Linked DNA regions of Oryctolagus cuniculus. The protein of the gene in region 3 purifies or fractionates together with the protein of the main gene of each other region. This does not show direct contact. Links are inferred from orthologs where the notes say so. Each region holds a gene or a part of one and is shown on either strand. Other genes may lie near its edges.

Region 1 (7,494 bases), on a different chromosome or scaffold from region 3:
GCAATTTTAAGACTGTGGTGCAAGGAGAGTTTCAAATGGAGTCTGTTAGTAACACTGAGCTGAGGAAACAGAGGCCAGAGGGAGGTAAGGCAGCTAGAATTTGCAGGGCAGAGCACCAAGGGAGTGAATGATGCAGAAAAAGTATCCCAGAAATTTGTACAGGGTTCCCCTCCCATATTCTCTGAATCCCAAATTTACGCACAACGTAAACCTCTGTAAGGTTAAAACTAAAGGACCTCTAGGAGAAAATAATTACTGGAGATCTCTAAGTCAAATCCTAGAACTCAGAGTTCTGAATTGTTCTCAGAATGTGGAGACAATGCTAATACACAGAGGATTCAGAAAAGAATTCTGAAAGGCCATAATTTAGAAGAGGAGCTAAAATTAGTTTTGGAATAAAGACTATTCTATATCCCCTCTCTAAAAAAGTTTTAAAAATAGCCTCAAAATGGTCAAATATAGCTTCAAGTAATTAAAAATGCTTATCAGAAAACAGCCCCACACACAACATGATGCTTATAATTCAATCAAAATTATTAGACACAGAGGAAAGCACAATGGATATCCAAAAAAGTAGATAATGAGATTAGCAGACAGAGCATTAACACAACTATTATAATTATATTCACTCAAATATATAAAGGAAGAGCATAAGATGTGCAATGAAAAATTCCACAGGAAGAGATTAACTGCTGATTAGACAACCGTGGCAACAAAAGTCCCTGATTTTTAAAGATATAAAAATAAAAACTATCCAAAAAAAAAAAACACAGAAAGATTTAAAATTTAAATGAAGACTTCCAATAGAACAGTAGCAAGAAGTCTAATATACTAATGATGCTGTCCCAGAAAAAAAGGAAGACAAAATATTTGGATAAATAATAGTTGAAATTTTTCCAATGTTGATGAAACTAAACACTCACAGCTCTAAGAAGCTCAAAAATCCGAAGCAGATAAACAACAAAAGATATTTTCTTTTTTGCCTCCTTATTTCTTTAAGGACAACACAACATTATGGGGTTTTTAAGAAATAGTACGATAAGGTATTATAATAAATATGTAAATAAAATATAGTACAATAGCAATAAAGGCAAAGTACAAAATTCTAAGATACTGAAAATTTCAGATTGCCATCAGAGAATCACTTAACTTTTTCTGATACAATACTTGAGCCAAAAACCTGATCAAGTATATTATAATCTATCTGAAGAAAAAATGACCAGAAGATGAGTAGTATGCATGGGAGACTTCCAAGTTGGCCTCCAAGCTGTAAGTAGTGAGAGAAGAGGTGTCCTTATTGGACACCATGTTCCTAAAGATGATTTATGAAGGACTTCAAAAAGTTCATGGAAAATGGGCGTTATCTTTTAATTCCATTTTTCATTTTTTAAAGTTTTTATTTGATGAATGTCCATTTTTCCATGAACTTTTTGAAGTCCTTTTTACATACTAAGTTATCATGACTGATGACACTGACCACTAAATCCATCCCTTTGCTCTGGTTCCATGCTTGCTTCCTCTAACCATAATTTGACTTATTAGTGTTTTCTTTTGCCTTTTTTCTGATGATAATGATTTTTCTTCAAAAGGACTTGATATGTAAAAGGTCACAAAATTTAGTAGTCAGATTTGACTTGGCTGCATTACTATATACTCTTTTTTTTTTTTTAAGATTTATTTATTCATCTGAAAGGCAGACATACATAGAAAAAGACCTTCCATCTGCTAATTCACTCCCCAAAAGGCCAAAATGGTCGGGGCTACACCAGGCTGAAGCCAGGAGCCAGGAGCTTCTTCCAGGTCTCCCACGTGAGTGCAGGGGCCCACGGACCTGGGCCATCTTCCTCTGCTTTCCCCAGGAGCGCTAGCAGGCAGTGAATCGGAAGTAGAATGGCCAGGACTCGAATCGGCAACTATATGAGATGCCTGCACTGTAGGCAGAGGCTTAACCTTCTACCTCACAGTGCCATCCCCTACTAAACACTTTTCAAAAATCTATTATCCTATGCTCAGAAACTAGCAAGATCACTGTTATTTAAATTTTTTTCATCCATGCTGCTTTGTGTCTTTACTTTTAGAAGCTGCAACAGAATTTTATATCATTCTTTAGTTCATATTTACTAAGATGCAGAAAACCAGCATTTTGAAATTTTCTTAAATTCTAGTAATTTTTTAATACTTAAATCTAAAATGGGTCATGAAAAGTTTAACCATAAGTAGGGATGAGAGCTTCAAAGCGATTTTCAAAATTATATCCTGGGGCCAGCATTGTGACGCAGTAATGTTAATCTTCCACCTGTGGCGCTGGCATCCCATATGGGTGCTGGTTCTAGTTGCTCTTCCTCTGGTCCAGGTCTCTGCTATGGCCTGGGAAAGCAGTGGAAGATGGCTCAGGCACTTGGGCCCCCGCACCTGCATGGGAGACCTGGAAGAAGCTCCTGACTCCTGATCTGCACAACTCTGGCTGCTGCGGCCATTGGGGGAGTGAACTAGCGGATGGAAGACCTTTCTCTTTGTTTCTCCCTCTCACTGTCTGTAACTCTACCTCTCAAATAAATAAATAAAATTAAATTAAAAAATTAAATCCTTTGATTCTGTGATTTTTCCCCCCATGGATGAGACGTTATTGAAAATAAGGATTCCCCTTTTCTATTTTGGGTAACTTAAAAAAAATCAATTAATTAGCTAGGACAGGAGGTGATACTTGCCTGTTGTTCTTGTGAAAATAGGCAAAAATGTGTTGATCTTAACAATGAATATTTACAAAAGATAAATCCAGAGGGGTAGTGGTAGTGAGGCCAGCGTCATGGGATGCTATTTTTTTCTTTTTTCTTTTTGACAGGCAGAGTGGACAGTGAGAGTGAGAGAGACAGAGAAAAAGGTCTTCCTTTTGCCATTGGTTCACCCCCCAATGGCCGCTGCGGCCAGCATGCTGCAGCCGGCACACCGCAATGATCCGAAGGCAGGAGCCAGGTGCTTCTCCTGGTCTCCCATGGGGTGCAGGGCCCAAGCACTTGGGCCATCCTCCACTGCACTCCCTGGCCACAGCAAAGAGCTGGACTGGAAGAGGAACAACCGGGACAGAGTCTGGCGCCCCGACCAGGACTGGAACCTGGGGTGCCAGTGCCGCAGGTGGAGGATTAGCCTATTGAGTTGCGGTGCCGGCTGATGCTATTTTTTTCTTTAATTTTGTTTAAGGAATACAACTTCATGCATTTAATATAAACAAATTTGGGAACATGGTGATTCTCCCCCCCCCCCACTTCCCTCCCACCTATTCTCCCACCTTTCTTCCTCCTCCCTCTCCCTTTACCATTCTTATTTTTTACTGAGATCAATTTTCAATTAATTTTATACTAAAAAGGTTAACCCCCTAAGTAGAGAGTTCACCGAATAGTATGAAGAAAAAAAAAAGCACAAAAACAAACAAGAATAATACTGTTCATCAACAAGGCAAGGGATGTTATTTTTTCATACACACTTCACAGTTATAATCTTTGAATCAGAAGTTTTACACTTGTATACTGACAACAGAGTAGTAATCTACAAAGCTATTTAGCAACACAAAGAGCTAATGTGTTCTTACAAAGACAGAATTAATCAAGATCTATGAAATCTAAGTTTAAATTCAACCCCCTAAAAAAGACATTTAAGAGTTAGTGGCTGGTACTACAAAAGTTACAAGAATGAAAAACAAGATTCACAAAATCAAAAGATATATTACACATGGTATTTTAACCCAATTTTATTATAAATAAATGTTTCAATATAATTTTAGTATGCTTCGTCATTATAGTCTACTTTAATCGTATGGATATCATAATTGCTGCATATTTTAATGTACCAACTAAAAAATGATAAAAATATGCTGTTAGCACAAAGATATAAAAGTTGCTCATTCAAAAAATTTCAGGACTTATACAAGAATAATTCCTCAAAGTTTCAAATTATAACTTCAAAAATATAGTACAGAAATATAAAGGACACTGTATTTGAAATTGGCAGTGTACCTTATCAGTTCAGAACACATCCCACTTTAAACACGCTAGCTTAATCTTTCAAACAACATTAAATCTACTGAATATCATTTGCCAAAACAATCTTTAAAAATTTACCTATGCTATAATCAGGGAAATACAAGACAAATGGTTCAAAGCATCCAGTATTTGGACGAAACTTTTCCCAAACAATTTCACTGAGAAATATAACAGTCACATTTCGGTCAGTCTGTAAAAGAAAAAAAAAAAAAAAGCTTTGCATTTAAAAGTATTAATCAAAGCAATAATTCCATTTACATTTTTCCTTTAAAAATTCCAGGAAGGGTGGTACTAATGGCATCTTACATGTTAAAGTGATCATTTTAAGTGTGTAACTGATCATACAGATAGGAATAAGTGTCAAAGGGATCATATAAATAAGATCAGTTATCTGCTAATAACAATATAATTAAAAAGGAGAGAACGATTCTACATGGAAAGCAGGCCACACAGCAGACTTAGAATGACAAATGCCCTAAACAGCACTCTGACCTCAGAATCAGCCCTTAAGATATTCTGATCTGGCTGAAAAGCCCATGAGAGCATTTCAGGAATGGAAAGCCAAGACACTGTGGCAAAAAAAATGACCTAAATCAAAGATCTCTGTGAGTGAGAGCCTTGGCAGCTCATGACAAGAGTCTCGGGTGATTGCTGACATCATAAATAAGAGTGTCAATTGTTAAATCAACAACAGGAGTCACTGTGCACTTATTCCCTATGTAGGACCTCTGTTCTCAATGAATTCTACTATCAGAATAACAGTAAAACTTGTCATCAAACAGTACTTTATACATTCTGTGTCTGTGTGGGTGCAAACTGTTGAAATCTTTACTTAGTATAGAGCTGGTCATCTGTATATAAAGATAATTAAAAATGAATCTTAATGAAGAATGGGATGGGAGAGGGAGTAGGAAATGGGATGGGAAGAGGGGTGGGAAGGAGAGTATGGGAGAAGAACCACTACTTTCTTAAAGCTGTACCTATGAAATTTGTATGTATTAAATACAAGCTTTCTAAAAAAATTTTTAAATTCCAGTGCAATTTTAACATAAAACACATCATTTGTATGTTATTTTAGAAAACCTAATCATCTACTTGCAAATATTCAATATATCTGTTCTCAAGGATGTTAAGATAGTCACATGAGATTTACTTTAGAAATTAAGAAAAACACTTACTTGAATAATTAAGACAAAACTTTTATGTAAATTCTCAAAAAAATCATAAGCTTTCATCAGTAAATTTAAAAAGGCAAAGCTTATCATTTCTCATCATTAAAAAAGCTTCAGCAACCCACAGAAAAGTTAATATGCAGTTAAAGGAAAATAGATATGCCATATCTATCCCCCATAACAGCGCATACTAGGAACATTAAAGGTTTTCCTTAAGGTTATGTTTACATCAATCGCTAAGTAAAACTGATGTTCAATAAACAATAAAAGCTCAAACTACGAGTATTATCATCTAGAACATCAACATTAAGCAAAACACTTATCTTTTGAAATATTCATATATGTAGAAATTACTATATCAACAAAAAATACTAAGAGAGCCTGTTATCATACTATAGCATGGCCATAATTGTCCTAAACAAGCTAGCTGACATTTTGTGTATTCATCTCTGCATTCTCTACACAAACTTTAATTTTCTCCATATTATTTTGGCATTCCTAGGCTAACAAAGCAGAAAGAAAGCTGTTTTGGTCAGCAGTGGATGACCCTAGAACCAGTCTTCCACATAAACTGTACTGTATATTTTTTAAAGATTTTTTTTTATGTATTTGACAGGTAGAGTTATAGACAGTGAGAGAGAGAGACAGAGAGAAAAGTCTTCCTTCCGTTGGTTCACCCCCCCAAATGGCCGCAACGGCCGGAGCTGTGCCGATCTGAAGCCAGGAGCCAGGTGGCCCAAGCACTTGGGCCATCCTCCATTGCCCTCCCGGGCCACAGCAGAGAGCTGGACTGGAAGAGGAGCAACTGAGACTAGAACCCGGCACCCATATGGGATGCCGGCACCACAGGCGGAGGAGGATTAACTTAATGCATCATGGTGCTGGCCCCTATACTGTATTTTGACACTGAGTGATTTACTGATTCCTTACCTGTATGATTTTCATTGCTTATTTAGTTAACAAAAAGATCTGAATACATAATTCCACAGAAAATTTAACATCTCTATGAGAGGAAAGGATTTTTATTTCCAAATGCTTTGTCTTACAAATTCACTTTTTTTTAGATTTATGTTATTTATTTGAAAGACAGAACCACAGAGTGAAGGAGAGACAGAAGGAAAGATCTTCCATTCACTGGTTCACTCTCCAAACAACCGCAAAGACCAGAGCAGAGCTGATCTGAAGCCAGGAGACAGGAGCTTTCTCCAGGTCTCCCACGAGGGTACAGGGGCCCAAGAACTGCTCTCCCAGGCCATAGCAGTCAGCTGGATTAGAAGTGGAGCAGCCTGGACTCCAACCGGCGCCCACATGGGATGCCAACACTGAAGGCCAGGGCCCTAACCCGCTGCACCACAGTGCTAGCCCCAAATTCACTAACTTTTAAAAAAGATTTAAATAATTTATTTATTTGAAAGACAAAGCAACAGAGAAAGGGAGACAGAGAAAGACATCTTCTATCCCAATTAACTCTCCAGATGGCCTCAACAGCCAGGACTGGGTCAGGTCAAAGCCAGAAACCTGATCCTGTCTCCTATGTGGATACAAGGGCCCAAACACTTGGGCCATCATTCACTGTTTATCCAGGCACAGTAGCAGGATGCTGGATTGGAAGCAAAACAGCAGGTACTTGAACTGACACTCTGATATGCTCTGCTGGCATTCTTAAGGGATGGCTTAAAACTGGCTATGCCACAACACTGGCTAGAAATTCACTGATTTTTACAGAATCTATGAATATACTTGTATGGTATAAAAAAAAAAGTATGCTCTAAACACCATCCTGATTACAAAAGCACTGCATTATTTTTACTTCACTATAATTAGCTAAAAACATTTTATACAGTTAAAAATATAGAGAGCTTAAAAAAAGATACTTATCAGTCTGAAAGGATTTTAGATTGGTAACATTCTTATCTATTCATGAGAAAGTATTTTCAGTATACAACAGTTGTTACCAAACAAAATTTTTTTTACTCAGATACTAAATATATAAAAATGAGAAATGTTTTTGCTAAATTTCTCTTGAATAAAACACATAAATCAAGTATGTTTCAGAAATTTCTAAACAATTTTCTTTTCTGACAGATTTCAGACTGCTGTGAACTCATTAATTTTCTTTAAATAGCTTGCATAATTAAAACTAAAAAATGGTGAAAGTCCTAACTATGGGTACATGATCATCATTCCTGGGCACAAGGAGGAAAACACAGGGTAATTTACCCTGGAAGGGCAAGAACACACTCTGGATTCCAGATGGGGAGTCCCAAAGCAAAGCACTGAAAAAC
Region 2 (7,494 bases), on a different chromosome or scaffold from region 3:
TTTTTTTTTTTTTTTTTTTTTTTGACAGGCAGAGTGGACAGTGAGAGAGAGACAGAGAGAAAGGTCTTCCTTTGCCGTTGGTTCACCCTCCAATGGCCGCCGCGGCCGGCGCGCTGCGGCCGGCGCACCGCGCTGATCCGATGGCAGGAGCCAGGAGCCAGGTGCTTTTCCTGGTCTCCCATGGGGTGCAGGGCCCAAGCACCTGGGCCATCCTCCACTGCACTCCCTGGCCACAGCAGAGGGCTGGCCTGGAAGAGGGGCAACCGGGACAGAATCCGGTGCCCCGACCGGGACTAGAACCCGGTGTGCCGGCGCCGCTAGGCGGAGGATTAGCCTAGTGAGCCGCGGCGCCGGCCTGGACTGGTCTTTTCTAAAGCCAGGAGCCCAGAGCTCCATCCTGGTTTCCCACATGGATTGTAGGTGTTCAAGCACTCAGGCAAATCTGCTGCTTCCCCAGGAGCATTAGCAAGGAATTAGATCGGAAGCAGAGCACCCAGGTCTCTAGCCAGCACGTCAGTATAGGATGCTTGGCTTAAACTACTGCACCACAGTGCTGGCTCCTGTAGACAGCATTTTTAAATTTTGGTTTTAGTATTCTCATTGTTACTATACAGGAATGTGATTGTTTTGATCTGCTATGATTTCGCTAAATTTAGTAATTCTATGAATTTGTTTTAAGATTCTTTGGGATTTTCCATGTTAACAATCACAATGAATAGAGATGGTGTTACTTGCTTTTTTAGACTGTATGCATTTTATTTTTTTCTTTTTAACAAAATTTTATTTGGAGCCAGAGCAGGAGATTGGAGCAAGATCTTCCATCTGCTGGTTTACTCCCCAAACACCAAATATCCTCAGCAGCTAAGGGCAAGCCCAGAACTCATACCAGCTCTCCCCTGTGGGTGACAAGGATGCAAGTACTTACGCTATCTAAAATCTGCTGCCTCACAGAGCATGCAATAGCAGAAAGCTAGGTTGGAAGCGAAGGAACTTGCATTTGAAGCAGGCACTCTGATACGTAATGTGCATTCCCAAGAGGCATTTTAATAACAGTACCAAATGTGTATCCTGATTTTCTTATGTTTTATTGCAGTGCCTAGAAATAACTCTACAATTAAAGTAAATATCCTTCTTCATTCTCAATCCTATAAGGAAAGCATTCAGTCTTTTACTATGAAATATAATGATGTTAGTTATGCATTTTTTATACACGCTCTTTAAACATTTGAGGTAATTCCTCCTCATTTCTAACTTGCTGAGAGTTTATGAGTAGATGTTGGATTTTGTCAGATGCTTACTCTTAATCAGTATAATATGATTATATAATTTCTCTCTAACCTGTTGATTTGCTTGGGTAACAGTGATAGATTTTTGAAAAATCAACCAGTATCTTATACCTGGAATACATTCTAGTTAATCATAGTCTTTCACCAAGTAATTGCATCTAACTTTAAACAATATCAATTAAAATTACTTTATTCTGAAAATTAAAGAACTTCTTCCTAACAGTTTGAAATTAGTGTAGTATTTCTAGAAAATTGTCTTGGGCAAATACCTTTCAAAGAAAATAGCTTTGGTTTTAGGAGTCTCTTGGTCAATATTCATTAATAGTAATAGGACAATAGTGATAATTGCTAATATTTCTTGACAAGAAATGTTACTATTATTGTTAATTTACCTACATTACTAACCTCTACAATCTTATTTTTTTTCCTTAGGTACTTTTATCCTTACCCTTGTAGATACTGAGGCACCTTGACACTAAATAACTTGATAAAGATCTGAGAGATATTAGTCAGCAATACTTGCATCCAAGGCTGGCTGACTTCAAGTTTCTTTTCTACTTTATTCTGTGGTTCTGCCATGTTCGTTACAGATTGCCTTCCCTTTTCTTGTTTTGCTAAGGAAATTTAAGTCTTTTTCTTTTTATATGGCTTCCTACTTATTAGTTTATCTCCTGTCCATCAATCAAAAGTACACTGATATTTTCAGCACCAGCTATGTTTTTAAACAAAGATTGATTTATTTATTAGAATTTCAGAGAGAGAGAGACAGAGAGAGATCTTCCACCTGCTGTGGTTCACTCCCCAAATGGCTGCAACAGCCAGGGCTCATCTAGGCTGAAACCAGGAGCCAAGAGCTGCTTTCAGGTCTCTCACATGGCTGGCAGGGGGCCATACACTTGAGCCATGTTCCATTGCTTTCCCCAGGCCATTAGCGGGGAGCTGGATCAGAGAAGAGCAGCCTGGACCCAAACTAGCACCTGTATGAGGTACCATTGTTGCAGGCAACAGCAGCTTTGCCTGTCATGCCACAACACTAGCTCCTCAGCACTAGCACCAGCTGTTTTTATCATGAAGGAATTTGGTTAATAAGAATTTTTAGAGTAAAAAAAATACATACATACACATATACATATATATATATCTCCCATTATTCTGGGAAAGTATCTCTGCCTCAGTATTGTCAACAGGAACAACTATTATTTTGCCAGTTTCCTCTTAAATTTTTAATGCATCATAATGAATTAAATAATAGCTTGCTTAGTAATGTAGACTTCTACTTTGATGGGTTGCTTGCTCATATTCTTATCTCATTCCTTTATTGATTATCTTTTTCTTTGCTGTGGAAGATCTTTACATTTGAGAAGATTACAGACAAATGCTGCAATTAGACTTTTCTACTAGTCTGATGTGTATTAGCGTTTACATGTTATGTTATAGTATGAATATAAAAAGGTTTTTTTTTTTTTTTAATTATCCATTTATTTGAAAGGCAGAGTTAGAGACAGAGTGAGATCTTCCACCCACTTGTTCATTCTCCAGATGGCCACAACCGCCAGAGCTGGGCTGGTCAGAAGCCAGGAGCTTCTTCCAGGTCTCCCATGTGGGTGCAGGAGCCCAAGTACTTGAGCCACCTTCTGCTGCTTTCCCAGGCATACTAACAGGAAGCTAGATCATAGTAGAACATCTAAGACTCAAGCCAGGATCCATATGTGATACTGTCACCATAGGTGGCAGCCTTACCTGCTAGGGCCCCAAAAGTTACTACTTTTAATGTAAATGTGTATAGTCGCTTTGGAGATCCATTTAGCTAAGTAGGTAACTAGAGAAACTCAAAAGCACAAGAAGTCTGATATAGGATTGCTGATTAGAATCATGTTTATAATCAGGAAAAAAATTGAAATGACATGTGCATCAATAGAAAATGAATAATAATGGATATATCCAAAGGAATACAGTATAGCAGCCAAAAATTAATAAAGTAGAATTGATACCTCAACATGGATAATTCTGTTAATAGATGGTAAGTCAAAAGATAGTTGTGAAACTACAATAGTATTTATATGATATTTGAAAATTACTCTGTTTTCTAGGAATACATACTGATTTATTTTGTGTGGAGAAGTCTAGAGAGTCTAGGAGGAGAGGGGCTTCATCTCTGTAAAATTACATTAAACTGGGAAAGGGGCCATAGATAATGCATTGTATTACTCTGTTGTCTTTTTGCGTGTTAAAAAGTATTTCAGAATGAAAAATGAAGGGCATGTGTGGCACTGCAGCTTAAGCTGGTACCTGGGATTGAGTCCTGCTTCAATTTTGATCCAGCTTCCTGATAATGTGCATCCTGGGAGGGAGCAAATGAGGGCTTAAGTACCAGAGCACACCCAAAGGAGACCTTGATAGAGTTCTGGGTCCTGACTGATTCAGGCATTTGAGGAGGTGAACCAGTGGATAGTAGATAGGTATGTATGTGTCCCTGTCACTCTACCTTTCAAAATAAAATAAAAAAGTGAAAGGAAAAAAAGAAACATCAGAGGAAGGGAAACAGCTACTGGTGACCTGGTTTCCAGCCAGGCAGAGGATGAAAGACAAGGATTGCCAAACTCCTCTGCTCAAGTAAGGCACCTGTGCCTGGGTTTTGATGGAAGATAAGTATATCCCAAATATTGCATGGTATATACTTTTACTAAGCAGTTTCTCATTGTTTATCCAAAATTCAATTCTAACCTGATGATATCAGGGATTTTTTTTGTTCTTTTTGAAGATTTTTGATTTATTTATTTGAAAGGCAGAGTTACAAAGAAACAGAGGGGAGCTAAAGAAATCTTCCATCCGCTGGTTCACTCCCCAAATGGCCATAACAGCCAGGGCTGGGTGAGGCCAAAGCCAAGGATCAGGCGCTTCCTCCGGGTCTCCCACATTGGTGCAGGGCCCCCAAGGGCTTGAGCCATCCTCTGCTGCTTTCCCAGGTGCATTAGCAGGGAGCTGAATCAGAAATGGAACAGCTAGGACAAGAACAGGTGCCTATATGGGATGCCGGCATTGCAGGCAGTAGCTTCACCTGCTACACCACAACCCCGGCCCCGATGATACCAGTTTTTATCTGCTAACCTTAAATGAAAAAATTTAACTTTTATGAAAAATTTTATGTATATAAAGAAAGCAAAAAGAAATCTCAAGGTATTTGTGTGACAATGTTAGTTAAATAAGAAGCAGGCTCTGCTTTCAAGGAGAATTATTTCATGGTATAGATATTCTTTGTACAATCAAACAGAAAATAGCTGACTTCTTTCTATCTTACACTAACTTTGGCTGGTTGATTAGCATTTTTACTTTGTTTCTTCTCATCACCTTACGCTTTGAAATGTTCTTTTGAGGGGTAAATTACACATGAGGAAAGGGGTAGGAAGAGTGGCAAGAATTTGTTCATATTGTACATTTGTAGAGTAATATGAAATGAGTTGAAATACTGTGTTTATTAGACCTAAACTGGAGAATACCTTTGCCAAGCATTAATATTTACTTTCTCTTAGGCATAAATTATGCAAATTCAGAAGTTTTGCCCTCTTATATCTCCAAAATCACACAGTAAATACGTAATCCTTTCTCTATTCTACATTTGCCTAGATGCTTGCTTTAAATCGAGTAACAGCATCTCATCCATTTGTGACTCCAGCAGATCTTATGGAGGCTAACCAGCTGTGTAGCATGGATTCTAAAGCCAATATTGTACATGGTGAGAAGCCTAATAATAATTTTTTTAGTTATAAAAAGTTTGAATTTAGATAATATATTTTTTTTTTCGAAATTAACATTGGCATCATTTTATGTTAAGAATACTTTTATATTCATGGAGAACCATTAGCTCAGTTCTTTTTAAAAAAAAAATTTTATTTATTTGAAAGAGTTACACAAAGAGAGAAGGAGAGGCAGAGAGAGAGAGAGAGAGAGAGGTCTTCCCATCCGCTGGTTCACTCCCCAATTGGCCACAATGGCCTGAGTTGAGCTGCGCTGATCCAAAGCCTGGAGCTTCTTCCGGGTCTCCCACGTGGGTGCAGGGGCCCAAGCCATCTTTCACTGCTTTCCTATGCCATAGCAGAGAGCTGGATCAGAAGTGGAGCATTTGGTACTTGAACCGACACCCATATGGCATGCTGGCACTGCAGGTGGCAGTTTTACCCACTATGCCACAGCGCTTGCCCCTAACTCAGTTCTTAAAAAGGCATTACTACTACTATTTAAAGTGATGGAAACTTGACACTTCTCATGCCACTTTGGAAACCCAGGCAAGACTATGTTGCTGACATTCTCATTAAACCAGTGCCACTGAAGAGCATTCACTAATTTTTTTGTCACTTGGGATTCATTATCCCTTTTGAGTCTCTGATGAACATTTTCTTTCCCGGGAAACAGTACAGTTTTGGATATGATTTGAAGAAGTTTAGGGATTCTCTCAATAAATCCCACCCAAGGACCTTTGTGATTTAAAAACAGTAATTGCAGTTCCTATATATTGTTTACTGTGGGCTATATCATGAATGTTTGGTTATCGTGTCTCTAATCCTTGTAATTTTTCTAAGTGTAGAAAGTACCTTATTTTTCAGATTATGAAAAATTAAACCTCACATGGTTAAGTAACTTAAGTTTGTAAAGATAATAGTGATGGAAACCATTTGGGTCTAGGAGAGGCTTGGCCTCCAGCCCACGAAGCTATGATCTTTGACTGTATTATGCCCTTCAGAAGACAGTATAATCTTATGTCTCTTTAACTACAACTCATAGTTTTTATTTTACTGTAGGTCTGTCAGTTTTGGAAATCTGTCTTATTATAGCAATGAAACATTTAAATGACATCTATGAAGAGGAGCCCTTTAATTTTCAAATGGTCTATAATGGTGAGCTAAGACTTTGATTGTTTCTCTCTTCTATTGCTTGTGTGAAGGTTCTGATATTTTCATTTCTTCCTATCCAGAGTTTCAAAAGTTTGTTCAAAGAAAGGCCCATTCTGTTTATAATTTTGAGAAACCTGTTGTCATGAAGGTAAGATTGGTTTGCTGTTTTTTAGACAAGTAGCTTTTACATCCAGTTTGATTATAAATATATATATATCAAAGTTGCACTTTCAGACATTAAGTATTAGGGATTTTTTTTAAACAGACAAAAATTTTAAAATGTTTCAGTATTTTGAAGGCAACTAGTTCTGTTTTAGTTTGTGGTGTTGCACTGCCCTCTGCTGTCAATTCATAGCACTTGCATCCTGAAAAGGAGCTACTCATTACAGTTAAAAAAAAACATTGCTGTAATCGTCTCATTCTAGTCCAAGAACTGCTTGTCATCACACCAGTAAAAGGAGATAAAAATGCAGACAAGAGTCATTTAAAACTTTAAAATTATTTCACATTTAATTTATTTGAAAAAGAAACCTCTACCCACTGCACAAATGCTCATAATAGCCAGGCCAGTGCCAGGTGAAGCCAGGAGTTGGAATCTCCATCCAGGTTCCCCATATGGGTGACAGGGGCCCAGGCACTTGGGTCATCACTAGCTGCTTCTGAGGGTACATATTAACAGGAAGGTGCGTCTGAAGTGGAGATGAAACTGGAATTTCAGCACTCGGATATGGGATGCAGGCATCCCCAATGGCTACTTTACCCACTGCACCACAATGCCCACCCTCTTAAGGTATTATTTAGGGTACTGTTTTTCACAATAAAGATAATGTGAATATATGATACAGTTTTAGATTCCATTCTACCCATAAGACTTAAAAAAGGGGGGGATTAGCTCGAACTCAGTATATAAAAAATATTTAAACACCACAGTCAGTATAAGAAGTTATTAATGAATGTAGCTTTATTTCCTTTTACAGTAAATTTTTGAAATTTTGTGTATGTTTATGTTTATAGCACATTTCAAGCCTCTAAATATTCATTGGAAATACTTGCTCTATAGAATCCTTAAAATAGGGACCGACGCTGTGGTGTAGCGGTTAGTAAAGCTGCCGTCTGCTGTGCCAGCATCCCATATGAGTGCCGGTTCAAATCCCGGCTGTCTACTTCCAATCCAGCTCTCTGCTATGGCCCGGGAAAGCAGTGGAAGAAGGCCCACGTCCTTGGGCTCTGCACCCATGTGGGAGACCCGGAAGAAGCCTCTGGCTCCTGACTCCAGATCAGCACAGCTCTGGCTGTTGCGGTCACATAGGGAGTAAACC
Region 3 (8,064 bases):
CCAGGTGGGGGTCGATGGCGGAGCCCCGCTCGGGGCAGTAGTCCAGGTTGCACTGCTCCACGGGCCGGAAGTCCTCCAGGCCGGGGTAGAGGCCCATTCTCCGCACCACCTCGCGGCTGAAGCTGGGGAGGCCTCGGAAGCCCGCAGTCTTCAGCTTCTGCTTCCGGAAGTTGACCTTGGGGCCGTAGTCCTGCGGGGGGAGGGCAGGGGGGAGGGGCAGGTGGCTGAGCCGGCAGAGGCGGCCGTCGAGGACCGAGTCCTGGGCATTCGGGCACGGGGACGCGGTGCAGAGCGCCTGGCCCCGGGAATGGGGCGTTCCCAGCGGGGGGAGGAGGCAGGCACAGGGCGAGCAGCCTGCGACCCCGGGCCATGGCGGAGCCCGGTGACCTCTGTGGGGCATAGCCCAGGGTGCTGGGGGCGGGCAGGACCCTGTGTTGCAGTGGGAGGGCCCTACCTCTGCCTCTAACTCTGCCTTTAAAATAAATGAATACATCTTTAAAAAAAAAAAAAAAAAAAAAAGATGACCAGAGCTGCCCGTGGCCCATTCCCAGCCACGGCACGGCCCGGTTCCCGAGGGCTGTGGCTTAGACAGCAGAGTGTGCGGGAGGGGTGACTGTCAGTACTGGCCCTGGAGGGCAGCCGAGGCAGGGTGGGGAGAAGGCGGGTAGGCGGGGCCTGAGCAGGGATGCTGTGGTCCCCGGCCAGGGAGTCACAGGAGAACAGGCAGGCACGTGTGCCGGGACGTGGGACGTGATGGGGGGAGGGGGCAGGCAGCCCACGGCAGCCACAGAAGTCTGAATGCCCGTCAGGAACCTGCCTCTCAGGAGTAGACCCAGCCCCCACCCAGCGACCCTGGCCGCCCACTCCCACAGCCCAGGGCTCGTGGTGCGAGACCTCCCCCGAGCAGCCCGGCGCACCTGCTTCCGGCGTCCGGACTGCGAGAGCTTCCAGGGGTCGCGGTCCATCAGCCGCACCATCTCGGCCTCTTCGTCCCGGGTCACGAAGTCCTCGATGAGCATCACCCCCGGGAAGGGGAAGGCCCAGCCCTCAAAGTCGGAGTCGGCGGCACCCACGGCCCAGCCCGTGTCCGAGCAGTAAAGGAACTCGTGTGTTCTCTGCAGGAGAGGGGGTGGGCGTCACAGGACCGCCACACGCTGAGGGAGTCCCCCTCCCCGGGGCGAGGTGCCCTGGGGTGGCTCCTTGCTCTTCCCCTGTCCGGAGCGGCCCTCCTTTTGACATCCATCTCCCAGAGGGGGCGCAGCAAGGTCAAGGAGCCAGCTCAGGGCCGCACACCCGGGAGCAGTCTGCAAACGCGCCGTTGCCTCGGGTGCGTGGACGGAAAAGGCCTGGGTGGGAGCCCCCGGCCCAGCCAGGTGACCCTGGGAGAGCAGCACAGGGCCGGAGGCCGGAGGGGAGGTGTCCCCCTCTGTGGTGGCCCAAGAGGCACCCAGCTGAGCTGTCACCGTCATCAGCCATCCGCGAGGGCCGTGACTGGCTGACCCCTCGTGCTGCGGTGCCCAGCCTCTCTGCCCATTGCGGTTGGGGGCTTGTCTCTGCCATCCTAATTGGGTCACCACCCCCTTCAGGTGTCCCGGATCTCGTGCACTGACGGCCCGCCCTCCCCGGCCCTGCATCTCATACTGCAGGCTCTCGGGGTCCTTGCTGACCCTGCCGCGGTCCCCCAGGGAGGGCTGGGCGACAGCAGTGCAGCGTTCCTGGGACACCCCCCCGCACCGGGGGTGCAGGGATCAGGATCCTGCCCCACCCCTTCATCTCCCCCCATCAGCTGGGCGTTCACTTGAGCCCAGCCTCTCCTCCCACACACCTCTCACCCCTGAGCTGTCGCTGGCTCCTCCTCTCCCACGATGCCCCCGCTCTGCCACCATCCCGGGGCCGCACCTGGCCCTGTCCCCTTCCAGGCCTCAGCGCCGCACCTCCCTTCCTGTCCTTGCCCTCTAGTCACTCTCCCAGGGCCCCCAGCCCCTCGCCACTGCCTCTTTTCTACCCTCGGCTTCACCCCGGCACAGCCGTCCTGCAGGTGAGAGCAGGGACACGGACCTGCGGGGGTCCCGGCCAGAGCCACCACCCAGGCTAGGACCCCATGGGCACCAGAAAGCGGGCTGGCCTCTGCGGCCCCTCCTCCTGCACTCCCGTCCCTGGGCTCCCACTAGAGTCCCTCGGACAGAACGCGCTACACCCGGGGTGGGGGTGGGTGCCCCGGACATCTCGCTCTCCTTGTCCCACAGCCCGAGTTGTAGCGGTGCCGCCTGCGTGGCCCCTAGCCCGGTACCGCAAACGCTCGCACCGTGGTGAGAGGCGTGGAACACGACGTGCGCCCTTGCAACACCTGTAACGCGGCTCCGTGGCCGCCTCTATCATCCTCCCAGACCCACTGCCTCCCCGCCTCCCCTCCCCTCCCCAGCCCCTGGAGACGCGTTTCTCCTCCGTCCCTGCGCAAGTGACTCCTCCCGAGTCGTCCCAAGGGACCGGCTCACTCCGCTCGGGGCGGGCGCTCAAGGCTCCCCACCCTGCAGCGCGGGTCAGCGGGTCTCCTCCGCGCAGGGCTCACGGACAACGCCGCGCCACTCACGTCTCTGCCGATGGATACCTAGGTCGCGTCTGCCCAGGTGTCCCCTCCACACCCTCCTTTCCCTTCTCCTGGGCGCGCGGAGCCAGAGCGGGGCAGCGGGCTCCGGCGATGGCCGTGGTCACTGCGCCGGCCTCGCAGCCTCCGCACCTCCTTCCCTGCCTGCCCGGGTGCGAGCTCACGTGACCCCTTCTCCCCTCCAAACCCCCGCAGTCCCTCTCCTGGGGCATCACCCCGCCGCCGCGCGCGCGCCCACCGCGGCCTCGCCCCCTGACGGACTGTCACCCCGGCCGCGGCGGGCCTCCCTTTCCCCTACGCAGAGCGGGTTTTGTGGGCGCGGTCCCTCGCTCAGCCCCTACCTGCGGGGAGAGCTGCCAGGGCGGGAACCCACCGCGCTGCCGCTCGCAGATCAGGCAGGTCCGGATGCCCTTGCAGCCACATTCCTTGAGCACCTCCGGGGCCTCGGCCGCCGCCGCCGCCATCGCGCCGTCCGGGCGGCCAGTGCGCAGGCGCCGGGCCGCGGGGGCCGCCGGGAGTCGTAGTCCGCGCGCGGGGCACGTGGTCCTGGCTTCCTTCCGTTCGCGGCCGCCTGCACCCGCGGGGCTCATTCGGCACCGCCTCCTGGGCTGCGCTGACCTCAGGCGTGGGCTTCGGACTGGGGAGCGCGGGTTCCGCGGGCTGCCGGGGCGGCGCGTCGGCGCCATGGGCCCCCTCACTGCGCGGCTGCTGCTGCAGCGCGGGCGACCCAAGAGTGACCGGCTGGGACGGATCCGGAGCCTGGAGTAAGAAGGGGGCCGGGGGCGAGGTCCCACGGGGTCGGTGGGCCGTTGGGAAGAGAGGCCGGCGGCCGTTAAGTCGCTCGCGCTCGGGAGGGGGCTCCGCGGCCGTTCCCGCCAAACGTCTCCTGCGGAGGAGATGCGCGCTGTCGCAGCCCCGAAGAGGGCGGGTTGCGGGTTGAGCCACCTGTTGAGCTCAAAGGGGCGCGGGGAAAGGCGTCCTGGGGGCGCCATGCAGGCCCGGGGGGCAGCTTCGCAGGCGGAAGGGCTCTCCCGGCACCCTGGCCCTGAGCCTCCCCGCCCTGCCCCCGCCGCAGCCTGTCCGGGCTGAAGCTGCACTCGGAGCACCTGGACCCCAAGCTGCTGGGCCGCCTGAAGCAGCTGCAGGAGCTGGACCTGTCCAACAACCAGCTGGACACGCTGCCGGCCAACCTGGGGCTGGCGCACCTGCGCGTCCTGCGCTGCGCCAACAACCAGCTGGCCGACGTCTCGGCCCTGTGCCAGTTCCCGCAGCTGGAGGAGCTCAGCCTGGAGGGCAACCCTTTCCTGACGGTCGGTGGACAGCCCCGCGGGGGAGGGCTCCGGGCCACGGGCCCCGGGCTTGGGCCGGCCGCCGCCTGAGCTGCGCTCGCCCTGCACCCCGCAGGTCAGCGACAACCTGAAAGTCTCCTTTCTCCTGCCCAACCTCCGGAAGGTGAACGGCAAGGATGCCTCCGCCAACTGCACGCAGGTGGAGAGCCTGAACCGCGAGCTGACCAGCAGGGTACGGGCCGGCAGCCACTGAGCAGCACCTGGGCGCGGCGGGAGGGGCCGGTGGCGGGCTCCGCCCTGAGCGCTCCTGCCCGCTGTGCCTGAGCCCCGCTGTGGTGGGGCCCCCTTTGTCCATGGAGGGGGGCCGTTCCTGGGGTCTGTGTTGACCAGGTTCCTGCACTCTGTAGATAAGAGGGGGCGGGGCAGGGGGTGGGGCTAGCCACCGGTGGTGCAGGGTTGACACCTGCGGGGTGTGAGGTCAGATAGGGGCTGGCCAGGGCTGGATCCCGTCCCTCCTCCCCCAGGTCACAGCTCACTGGGAGAAGTTCATGGAGGCGCTGGGCCCAGAAAAGGAGACCCAGAAGGCGCAGGCCGACTTTGTGAAGTCCGCGGTCAGAGACGTCCGCTACGGGCCCGAGTCCCTCAGCGAGTTCACCCAGTGGCGTGTAGGTGCTCACCCTGCCGCGCCGGGGCGCTGGCCTGCCCCGAGGGGCTGTGGGGGGGGGGGCGGCTGGACAGAGGAGCCGGCCCTATTGGCTGAATCCCTTTCCAAGTAGGAAGCATACGCCCCCTTGGAGCACGAGTCTGGGGGATGCTGGGGGACCCAGGACTGTGCCCAGCTTCCTGATGCCCCCCCCCAGGTGCGGATGATCTCCGAGGAGTTGGTGGCCTCTGGTGGGACACAGGTCCATGTGGCCAGTGTCCCCGATAAGCCCCCAGAAGCTGCAGCTGCCCACAAGCCCAAGGTGAGCGTGGCTGCGTGTGGCCCCCGGGGCTCCCAGGGCCTGCCGTGCCCCTTCTGCCTGAGTTGGCTCCCCCCGGGACCCTGGGCCATCCGCGGCTCCCACCCCATGGCGGGGCCGTGGTTCGGGCAGGAAGTCCCGGGGACTTCGGGCCCGTGGTCACCCAGGTCCTCTCCGCAGGCCAGGCTGGTGAAGCGGCCCGATGACACCCCACTCGGCCTCTCTGCCCCCAAGCGGGTGCGCGCCTCCCCGGCCGCCCGGAGGGAGGGCAGCCCTGGGGGCTCGGACAGCAGCCAGGTGAGCTGGGCGGTGGGCAGGGGTGGGGAGGTCAAGGGCTCGCACAGCCCCTGACGCGCTCTGCCCCCCAGGCTGCCCTGAAGCTGGAGCCGCTGCACTTCCTGCAGTGCCACAGCAAGAACAACAGCCCCAAGGACCTGGAGACCCAGCTGTGGGCCTGCGCCTTCGAGCCGGCCCCGGAGGAGGGTACGGCCGCCCGCGGGGGCGTGGCGGGGGCGGGGCCAAGACCTGGAGACCCAGCTGTGGGCCTGCGCCTTCGAGCCGGCCTCGGAGGAGGGTATGGCTGCCCGTGGGGGCGTGGCGGGGCCGGGGCCGGGGCCAGGGCCTGGAGACCCAGCTGTGGGCCTGCGCCTTCGAGCCGGCCCCGGAGGAGGGTACAGCTGCCCGCGGGGGCGGGGCCGGGGCCAGGGCCTGGAGACCTAGCGGTGGGCCTGCGCCTTCGAGCCGGCCCCGGAGGAGGGTACAGCCACAGGGCCCACGACATGAAGCTGCGGGTCCCACGGGAGCTGTTTTTATAAAAAGTCTTCATTATTTGAGGAAGGGGCCCCATCCACTGGTCCACTCCCTGCATGCCTACAACAGCCCCCGGCTGAGGCCAGAACCGGAGTGGGAGAAAGAGTGGCCCGGATACAGCCTGGCGCCCACATGGGAGGCCGGCGCCGCGGGTGGGGGCTCAGCCCTCTGCAGCACAGCACCTGCCCCAGGGGCCAGGGTGTACCACCAAGGGGGCCGCCTTGGATGGGAGGGGACAGTTTAGAAGGTGTCCTCCAGCCAGGCGGGAGCTCTCCAGTCCAGGTTTCCGCTCAGCTGAGCCCCTCAAAACAGGGGGCTCGGGGGCCACGTCGCAGACCGTGGCCACCTGCGGCGGGGAGGCTGTGTGCGTGATCGACTGCCAGACGGGCATCGTGCTCCACAAGTACAAGGCGCCTGGCGAGGTGGGTGCGGGCCCCTGCCTCCCTGCTCCCACACCGGGGAAGCAGACGCCGGTGTGCGGGGCGGTGCCCACAGCTGCTTCCTCCCCCCCGCCAGGAGTTCTTCTCGGTGGCCTGGACGACCCTGACGGTGGTCACACAAGCCGGCCACAAGAAGCGCTGGAACGTGCTGGCGGCTGCGGGCCTGCGGGGCCTGGTCCGGCTGCTGCACGTGCGCGCCGGCTTCTGCTGCGGAGCCATCCGGGCCCACAAGAAGGCCATCGCCACCCTCTGCTTCAGCCCGACTCGGGAGACCCACCTCTTCAGTAAGACCCGCCCTCTGCCGGGGCCCCCGCACCCCTCTCCTGCTGCCCTGGCGGGAAGACAGAACCTCAGGCCCCCCTCTGGGCTTCACGCCCACCTTTGCTGCTGCTCTGTGGCCTTGGATTTCCCAGCACCCGGGCCGCCCTGCTCCCCCGTCAGGGACCTGGGTGGTGACCCCCCAATGGGCGGGGCCCGAGCTGCCCTGGCGGCTGCGGTGTGGGCCCTGGGCTAGAGCAAGGAGGGACAGGGCTGGCCTCGGGCGCCCGGCCTCAGCCTGGGACGTGGCCAGCCAACGGGAGCAGGGCCACCTGTCCCTTTGCCCACCCCTCCTCAGCGGCCTCCTATGACAAGCGGATCATCCTCTGGGACATCGGGGTGCCCAACCACGACTACGAATTCCAGGCGAGGTGACGGCAGGGCAGGGCTGGGGCGGGGCAAGCTGGGCAGCAGGGCGGGGGCTAGCTGGGGCCAGCAGCTCCCATCTCCCCCCCCCCACAGCCAGCTGCTCACACTGGACGCCGCCTCCATCCCCCTGCGCCTCTGCCCCGTCCCCTCCTGCCCGGATGCCTATCTGCTGGCCGGCTGTGAGGGCGGCTGCTGCTGCTGGGACGTGCGGCTGGACCAGCCCCAGAAGAGGAGGTGAGGTGGGGCGGGCTCCCCGCGCCCCTGCCGCCTTCCCCTCGCCTGTGGCTGAGTGATGGAGCCCAGCCCGCTGCGCACCAGCTTGAGGCCCCTGGTGGTGGTGAGCAGGAGAGGCCCTGGGGCACATCTGCCCCTGCCGGGCACAGGCACTCGGGACAGGTGTGCCCCCCCCCATCAGCTACAGGGGACCCGCCCCAGGCCCCTTCAGAAGGGTGCTGGGTGGCATGTGGGGCAGGGAGGGGGAACAGCCTGTGGTGGGGACAGCTGGCAGCAGTGAGGCGGCATGGTGGCCTGGGCCACTGGGAGGACAGGGCAGGTGAGGGCTGGGGCGTGCAGCCCTGGGCCCAGGTCTGGGGGCGTCCGGCCCCTGGCTCTGGTGCACAGCCCTGCCTCCCCACCCCCAACACACACAGGGCGTGTGAGGTGGAGTTCGTGTTCTCTGAGGCGCCCGGGCGCAGAGTGGACGGGCTGGCCTTTGTGAACGAGGACGTCGTGGGTGAGTGCGGCCAGCCTGGGCCGATGGCTTCCCTCGGGGGCTAGGGTCTCGGGCTCAGCCTGGCACCCCCTGTTCTCCCGCAGCCTCCAAGGGGAACAGCCCAGGCACCATCTGCTTGTGGAGCTGGAGCCAGACGTGGGGCGGCAGGGGCAGCCGGTCCTCGGTGGCCGTGGTCGTCCTGGCCTGGCTGCAGTGGTCGTCCACCAACCTGGCCTACTTCTCCCTCAGCACCTGCCCAGGTGAGCACTTGCCCCCGGGAGCACCCCCCACCCCCGCTGCCCCACCTGAGCCTGCCTGTGCCTGCAGACGAGGCGACGGTGCTGTGTGGGGACGAGGAGGGCAACGTGTGGCTATACGACGTGAGGCAGCTCCTGCGCCAGCCGCCTGCGCAGCCGGCACCCACGCAGGCCCCCACGCAGGTGCGCGGGCTCCCCTGCCGGGCGGGGTGGGCTCCACGCGGGCGCCCTGCTCAGCCGGGTCTCCCCCACCAGGTCCTCAGATGGCCGCAGCCCTGGGCCTTGGGCCAGGCCGTGAGCAA
Region 4 (7,494 bases), on a different chromosome or scaffold from region 3:
CAGCTCTCTGCTATGGCCTGGGAAAGCAGTGGAAGATAGCTCAATTCCTTGGGCCCCTGACCCCATGTGGGAGACCTGGAGGAAGCTCCTGGCTCCTGGCTTCAGATGGGCACAGCTCCGGCCATTGCGGCCAACTGGGGAGTAAACCAGCAAATGGAGGAACTCTCTCTCTCTTTCTCTGCCTCTCCTTTTCTCTGTGTGTAACTGACTTTCAAATAAATAAATCTTTAAAAAAGGCAGAATTAGAGAGAGAGGGAGAAATAGAGAAAGATCTTGGATCCAGTGGTTCACTCCCCACATGGCTACAGTGGCCATCCAGGAGCTTTATCCAGGTCTCCCACATGGGTGTAGGTCCCAAGGACTTTGAACCATCCTCTGCTACTTTCCCAGGCACCTTAGCAGGATTAGAAGTGGAGCAGCTGGGACTTGAACTGGCACCCATATGGGATGCTGGCATTGGAGGCAGTGTCTTAACCTGATAAGCTACAACACCATCCCCTGATTTTTATACTTCTTAAAAATAATATCTCCTGCCGGGGCCACAGCTCACTAGGCTAATCCTTTGCCTGCGGCGCCAGAGCTCCAGGTTCTAGTCCCGGTTGCTCCTCTTCCAGTCCAGCTCTCTGCTGTGGCCCGGGAGTGCAGTGGAGGATGGCCCAAGTGCTTGGGCCCTGCACCTGCATGGGAGACCAGGAGAAGCACCTGGCTCCTGGCTTTGGATTGGCATAGCGCGCCGGCCGCAGCAGCCATTTGGGGAGTGAACCAATGGAAGGAAGACCTTTCTCTGTCTCTCTCTCACTATCTAACTCTGCCTGTCAAATAAAAAAATAAATAAATAAATAAAAATAATATCTCGTGGGTCCAGCTCTGTGGCATAGTGGGTAAAGCCACTGCATGCAGTGCCAGAATCCTATGGGGCATCGGTTCAAGTCCAGGCTGCTCTGCTTCCAATCCATCTCTCTGTTGTGGCCTGGAAAGCAGAAGATGGCCCAAGTCCTTGGGTCCCTGTACCTGTATGGGAGACCCACAGAAGCTCCTGTCTTCTGATCGGCACAGCTATCACCATTGCAGCCATTTGGGAAGTGATCCAGTGGATGCAGGACCTCTCTCTCTCTCTCTCTCTCTGCCTCTGCCTCTCTGTAACTCTCTGCCTTTCTTTTTATTTTTTTAAATCCTTTTTTTTTTTTTTTTTTAATTTTAATTTTTTGACAGGCAGAGTAGACAGTGAGAGAGAGAGAGACAGAGAAAAAAGTCTTCCTTTTGCCGTTGGTTCACCCTCCAATGGCCTCTGCGGCCGGCGCACCGCGCTGATCCAAAGGCAGGAGCCAGGTGCTTCCTCCAGGTCTCCCATGCGGGTGCAGGGCCCAAGCACTTGGGCCATCCTCCACTGCAATCCCGGGCCACAGCAGAGAGCTGGACAGGAAGACAAGCGACCGGGACAGAATCCGGTGCCCCGACTAGGACTAGAACCCGGTGTGCTGGCGCCGCAGGTGGAGGATTAGCCTGTTGAGCCGTGGCGCCAGCAACTCTCTGCCTTTCAATTAAATAAATCAATCTTTAAAAAAAATAATATCTCCAATAGAATTACTCTATAGTATGAATTTTATTTTCCTGTGTTTATAATTACAGATCATTTCATTAATACCAATTGCCTATAAGAGGGATTGGATGAATCGTACGTAAGTTGCTTTTTGATTGCAGGTTATGAATTTCTTGGATACTAATATCCATCATTAATAGTCTATCTTGGCCGGTGCCGCGGCTCACTAGGCTAATCCTCTGCCTAGCGGCGCCGGCACACCGGGTTCTAGTCCTAGTCGGGGCACCGGATTCTGTCCCGGTCGCTTGTCTTCCTGTCCAGCTCTCTGCTGTGGCCCGGGAGTGCAGTGGAGGTTGGCCCAAGTGCTTGGGCCCTGCACCCCATGGGAGACCAGGATAAATACCTGGCTCCTACCTTCGGACCAGCGTGGTGCGCCGGCCGCAGCGCGCCAGCCACGGCGGCCATTGGAGGGTGAACCAATGGCAAAGGAAGACCTTTCTCTCTGTCTCTCTCTCTCACTGTCCACTCTGCCTGTCAAAATAAAAAAGGTCTATCTTTAGCAAACATTTGGATTCTAGTATGATGTAAAAAATTATTGGTAATACTAGGAAAATTCCATGATTGTTGGGAGCACCTCGGACTAGACTAAGTTACTGGAATTAAGACTTATTCTATGCATCTGCTCTCCCACAATATGGCGCTGGGAGAGGAGTAAACAACTTTTACACAGCTGCCTCCAGTTCGACCAATAACCTGCAGGAGCTGATCCTGCTCCTGATTGGAGGAGAGCAGCGTACTCGGCGTGTGGGTAGCAGAGTTGGGATTGGTGGAAGAGGACTATAAAGGAGGAGAGAGACAACATGCACCAGGAACATCTAAGGGGAACATCCGGATAACATCTGAGCAAGCCCCGAGAGAGCCGGCCGGCGGTGTGCCGCTCCCCCCCTGCGGAAGTGGGGAAAGTGGCAGAGGGGCCCGCCCCTCCACGGAGGTGGAGGGATGGCAGCCAACCCGGGAAGGACCAGCAGCAAACCCGGGAAGGGCCGAGCAGACAAAAGAACAGTGCAGGGTCTAGTGTCGTACCTCCACGAAGAGGGGGAGCGACACATGATTGTTTTTTTCTTATGATTTATTTATTTATTTGAAAGTCAGAGTTATACAGAGAGAGAAGGAGAGGCAGAGAAAGAGAGAGAGGCCTTCCATTCTCTGGTTCACTCCCCAATTGGCTGCAATGGCCAGAGCTATGCCCATCTGAAGCCAGGAGCTTCTTCTAGGTCTCCATGTGGGGCCAGAGGCTCAAGAACTTAGGCCATCCTCTTCTGCTTTCCCAGGCCATAGCAGAGAGCTGGATTGGAAGTGGAGCAGCTGGGACTTGAACCAGCACCCATATGGGATGCCAGCACTGCAGGCCTGCAGCAGCTTTACCCACTATGCCACAGCGTTTCCTTTGTCATTAGTTTTTAGAAACAAAGTTTAATTTACTTGAGTTCCAAACATGCTTTTTTTTTTTTTAAGATTTATTTATTTATACGAGAGGTAGAGTTACAGATAGAGAAAGGGAAAGACAGAAAGGTCTTCCATCCTCTGGTTCACTCCCCGAATGGCCTAGTGTCCAGGGTTGGGCCAAGCCAAGGACAGGAGCCAGGAGCTTCATCTGGGTCTCATGTTGGTGCAGGGGCCAAAATACTTGGCCCATTCTCCACTGCTTTCCAAGGCTTGTTAGCAAGGAACTGGATTGGAAATGGAGCAGACGCTACTTGAACCGGTGCCCATATGGGATGCTGGCACTGCAGACAGTGGCTTAACCCACTGTGGCACAGCACCGGCCCCCAATATATATCTCTTTATGCAGTGTTATTTTCTTGATTTCTGTTACTCATCATATTTTCAAGTATTTTTACTTGGTAGTTTTTTTTATTAAGTATCTTTTGTTGTTAAATTATTACTAAAATTATGATGATTAATAAAATGTTGCTAATTAATTTTTTGTCCCATAGGTGTGAATGTCACAGATCATGAATTAATATTCAGAAGTCTAACAGAAGCCCTTCAGAATAATGTCACACCACATGTAGTCTCATTGCAAGCTAAAGATTGTCCAGGTAAAATATGAATGCCACAGTTACCTCAAAGAGAGTTAACAAACTTCCATTTCTTTCTCCCTTCTTTTTTCATCCCTTATGTGGTGGAAGAGCAGCCTACATTTTTGGCAGGGTGAGCTCTACTGGCTCCCAAAGTAATCTCTACTGTAACTGTACTCTACCACCTTTTACATCCTTTTTGTGGCCTTGTTCCTGCCATATCATAGCCATAGTTGTCCAATCATTTTTCAAGATTTTTTCTTAACCCACTGAATAAGTAGAAAGGTTTAGAACAGAAAGCTGAGAATAGGGGAAATTGGAACTCTTTTTTTTTTTTTTTAGCCCAACAGAGAGTAGACTATATAGATTCATATTTATAGTCATAAATCATTATATTGTCTCAGTATGAAAGGCCCCCATGGTAAAAATAATCCAGTGGCAAACTAATCTTGGATATCTGAAACCATCATTTCATAAAGGGTATGTAATACACTAAAATTTATTTGAATTTGCATTGATAAGATGAATTTTATATACTTATATTTCATATTCATACTATTTGTAATTAAGTAAAAGTCCTAAAGACATCTTTAAAAATTACTATAAAGGATGATTTATAAGTAGTAAATTAACTCATGTAAATAGTACTTTTGTTCTTTTAGGGATCTTGAAAACCTTTGTTGTCTAGTGTAATTTGAATACTTACTAGTCCTAATATAATTCATAGTTTTCCTGTTTATACATTTGCTCCACTTTTGTTATAGATATACATGAAAACTTTAGTTTTTGTCTTAATTATGAAATTTAGGATTCTAATGAGCATTAATAGTTAATATATTAAGTATTACATTAGTTACATTGATGGTAAATATAGGAAAACACATTCTACTCAATTAGTTTCATTTGCCAAAGTTTCATGGGCTTCCATTTTTTTGTTTCAAAGATTTTTATTTATTTATTTGAGAGGTAGAGTTACAGGCAGTGAGAGGGAGAGACAAAGAGAAAGGTCTTCCTTCTATTGGTTCACCCCTCAGATGGCCGCAATGGCTCGAGCTGTGCCAGGAACCAGGTGCTTCTTCCCGGTCTCCCATGCTTCTTTCCGTGTCTCCCATGGGCCATCCTCTACTGCTTTCCCAGGCCATAGCAGAGAGCTAGATTGGAAGAGGGGCAGCTGGGACTAGAACAGGCGCCCATATAGGATACTGGTACCGCAGGCGGAGGATTAACCTGTGCCATGACGCCAGCCCCAATGGGCTTCAATTTTAAGAGGAAATAAGCTTTCTTACTTTTTATATTCTGCAGATATAAAACATTTTTTGCAAAAGTTGGTCTCACAACTGATGAATTGCTGTGTGGATGTAAAATCCAAAGAGGAAGAAAGTGTTCAGGTCACCCAGAAAAAGACACATTGTTCAATGGATTTGCTTTCAAACTGGTATAAGACTGTCACACAGGTAAATATAAACTGATGATTTTCTCCGAGATAGATATTGGATGTGACTGGGTTATAGAATTATATTAGATACAGTACTGTATTTTTTTAAAGAATATATTTACATAGCATTAAGTGTTAATTTAATAGTGGCTGTTTTCTTTAAGTGACAAGAATTTCAGATTGTTCTTTTTATTACTGTGTAGCCTAATTTTCAGTAAGTGCTTAGGTTCTTTTTTTTATATATATATATTTTTATTTTTATTTTGGACAGGCAGAATGGACAGTGAGAGAGAGAGAGAGAGAAAGGTCTTCCTTGTCCATTATTTCACCCCTCAATGGCCGCCGCTGCCGGCACACTATGGCCGGCGCACCGCGCTGATCTGAAGGCAGGAGCCAGGTGCTTCTCCTGGTCTCCCATGCGGGTGAAGGGCCCAAGCACTTGGGCCATCCTCCACTGCACTCCCAGGCCACAGCAGAGAGCTGGCCTGGAAGAGGAGCAACCGGGACAGAATCCGGCGCCCCGACCGGGACTAGAACCCGGTGTGCCGGCACCGCAGGCAGAGGATTAGCCTATTGAGCTACAGCGGCGCTGGCAGTGCTTAGGTTTTTACAAGAACATTTTATTTGTGGAAAAATGTCATCCCATGAGAATAACAGAGCATTAGGAATTGGTCTACCACAAATTCTGCCTCTGGGACAATGGCTGTAACTTTAATATATTACCTCTTAGGTTCATTCTATCTCTGTGACAATGGCTATAACTTTAATCTCTTTGGTTCTTCAATATTTGCTTTTGTGTAGTGGAACCATCTTGCTAGTACGTACTGTTAACTTAGTCCTATGAAGAATAATCACGTATTTTTTTAAAGAAAATCTGAGTTGTTCCATGTTTAGAGTTCTTGGGGAATTGGTACTCTGTAAGTATATTTAACAAACAGACAAATAAAAAGAAGTTCCATTCTACATTATGGCCTCTGGAGAAAATGTATAACCTAGGTGATTCAAGATAACTGCAATGTAAAACTTCAGCTTTATTTCATGATGCTGTGTAACCAGACAAGTTAGGGAAAAAATGAGGTGGTGACATTTTTCCAATTAACGTTTTTGCTACAGTCATCATGAGAGAAGTTTCATTTTGCTTCATATAGGAACTAATGCTTATTAATTCAGTCTACAATTTTAAATTTTCTGGGAATCAAACACTACTTACAGTTGATATCAGGAATCTTTAGAAGATTATATTTGGGCCAGGTGATACTTAAGGCTCATTGTTGTTGTTTATTTTGTGGGAGACACAGAGAGAGAAAGACACGAGCAGATAGAGCTTCCAACCACTGATTTACTTCACAAATGCACACAGTGGCTGGGGCCAAACCAAGACGGGGGGAATTCAGTCCAGGTCTCCCAATTACTTGAGCCATCACCATTGCCCCCAGGGTCTGTATTGGCAGAACACTGGAGTCAGGAGCCAGAGCTGTATATTGAACCCAGGTATTCCTCCAATGTGGAATGTGTATGCTAAACCAATGTCTTAACTAGGCCAAATGCCCACCCCTTAAGGTCCTTTTTAAGCCTGAAATTTCATAATAGCAGAGCAGCAAGTAGTGCTATTTTTATGCTTTCTAATTAAGAATACTAGGACTTCTTAAGCAAAACAAAATATAACTTTCTACTGGTAGAAAAATCAATTTTGAAAATTTTCTTCCCATTTTTCTTGTCATTCTTCCCAGCAAAAAATATAAATATTTTATATACACTATAAATTTTACTGCACCTTTTTCTTCTTGTTTATTATTCCCATGTTAGAATGATTCTGCTAGTAACTGTTGAAAGGAGTTTCTATTATATAGAAGAAATAAAAGAAACAATGTTACTGTGAAGTGTGAAGGGAAATATGTCAAATGTGGCACTGTAGCTTTGTTTGGGTGATAAAGCTTACTTTTTAACTCCTTCTTTCCATAATGGCTTAAAAAGAAGACAGAACCAAAAATTCCAAGCAAAAAGAGGACTACTTCTAGCCAATGGCATTCTCCTCCTGTTGTGCTTATCTTAAAAGATATGGAAAGCTTCACTACAAAAGTGCTCCAAGACTTCATACTAATGAGCAGGTATTTGGTTTGTCACCTGGGTTTTGTGCAAAATTCTTTTTTATTAAGAAAAAGTATTCCTTTTACCTTAAAAAGCATAATCTTCATTTTGAGTCCAACTGGACAAAGCTCAAAATGATACCAAATTTTTTCATTAAATGTTCAAATACATTTCAGATTTTTCATTTGCTTCTTAACTCAAGAACAGGAATCACAAACTTAGCCCATTTTTAATGAACGTGGTAAGGCAGTATAAAGTATAGTTTATTTCACCAAAGTCTGTTGTGCCTTAAATGGGATAAACTACTCCAGATGGAGATAATTTATTAGATCATTTTTTTTAAGATTTAT

The links.
Region 1: the proteins of LRWD1 (region 3) and ORC5 purify together in Homo sapiens (affinity purification with mass spectrometry; 4 studies listed by BioGRID and IntAct, with this or other methods). This does not show direct contact. The link is inferred for Oryctolagus cuniculus from reciprocal best matches to the Homo sapiens genes LRWD1 and ORC5.
Region 2: the proteins of LRWD1 (region 3) and ORC4 purify together in Homo sapiens (affinity purification with mass spectrometry; 3 studies listed by BioGRID and IntAct, with this or other methods). This does not show direct contact. The link is inferred for Oryctolagus cuniculus from reciprocal best matches to the Homo sapiens genes LRWD1 and ORC4.
Region 4: the proteins of LRWD1 (region 3) and ORC3 purify together in Homo sapiens (affinity purification with mass spectrometry; 4 studies listed by BioGRID and IntAct, with this or other methods). This does not show direct contact. The link is inferred for Oryctolagus cuniculus from reciprocal best matches to the Homo sapiens genes LRWD1 and ORC3.

What each region holds. Positions count from the first base shown.
Region 1 is NC_091434.1:140,253,616-140,261,109, reverse strand, and holds part of ORC5 (origin recognition complex subunit 5), read right to left. Parts: intron 4,228-7,494; coding exon 4,116-4,227; intron 1-4,115. UniProt on the Homo sapiens protein: Component of the origin recognition complex (ORC) that binds origins of replication. DNA-binding is ATP-dependent. The specific DNA sequences that define origins of replication have not been identified yet.
Region 2 is NC_091434.1:94,275,659-94,283,152, forward strand, and holds part of ORC4 (origin recognition complex subunit 4), read left to right. Parts: intron 1-4,910; coding exon 4,911-5,019; intron 5,020-6,082; coding exon 6,083-6,178; intron 6,179-6,255; coding exon 6,256-6,323; intron 6,324-7,494. UniProt on the Homo sapiens protein: Component of the origin recognition complex (ORC) that binds origins of replication. DNA-binding is ATP-dependent. The specific DNA sequences that define origins of replication have not been identified yet.
Region 3 is NC_091450.1:44,073,795-44,081,858, forward strand, and holds the start of LRWD1 (leucine-rich repeat and WD repeat-containing protein 1), read left to right. Parts: upstream 1-3,153; 5' UTR 3,154-3,289; coding exon 3,290-3,369; intron 3,370-3,680; coding exon 3,681-3,915; intron 3,916-4,009; coding exon 4,010-4,126; intron 4,127-4,418; coding exon 4,419-4,559; intron 4,560-4,754; coding exon 4,755-4,859; intron 4,860-5,036; coding exon 5,037-5,153; intron 5,154-5,224; coding exon 5,225-5,339; intron 5,340-5,978; coding exon 5,979-6,088; intron 6,089-6,182; coding exon 6,183-6,390; intron 6,391-6,722; coding exon 6,723-6,795; intron 6,796-6,886; coding exon 6,887-7,027; intron 7,028-7,443; coding exon 7,444-7,526; intron 7,527-7,609; coding exon 7,610-7,765; intron 7,766-7,832; coding exon 7,833-7,945; intron 7,946-8,017; coding exon 8,018-8,064. Other genes in the region: ALKBH4 (alpha-ketoglutarate-dependent dioxygenase alkB homolog 4), read right to left, coding at 1-190, 918-1,115, 2,947-3,069. UniProt on the Homo sapiens protein: Required for G1/S transition. Recruits and stabilizes the origin recognition complex (ORC) onto chromatin during G1 to establish pre-replication complex (preRC) and to heterochromatic sites in post-replicated cells.
Region 4 is NC_091436.1:84,933,354-84,940,847, reverse strand, and holds part of ORC3 (origin recognition complex subunit 3), read left to right. Parts: intron 1-3,537; coding exon 3,538-3,642; intron 3,643-4,923; coding exon 4,924-5,075; intron 5,076-7,030; coding exon 7,031-7,164; intron 7,165-7,494. UniProt on the Homo sapiens protein: Component of the origin recognition complex (ORC) that binds origins of replication. DNA-binding is ATP-dependent. The specific DNA sequences that define origins of replication have not been identified yet.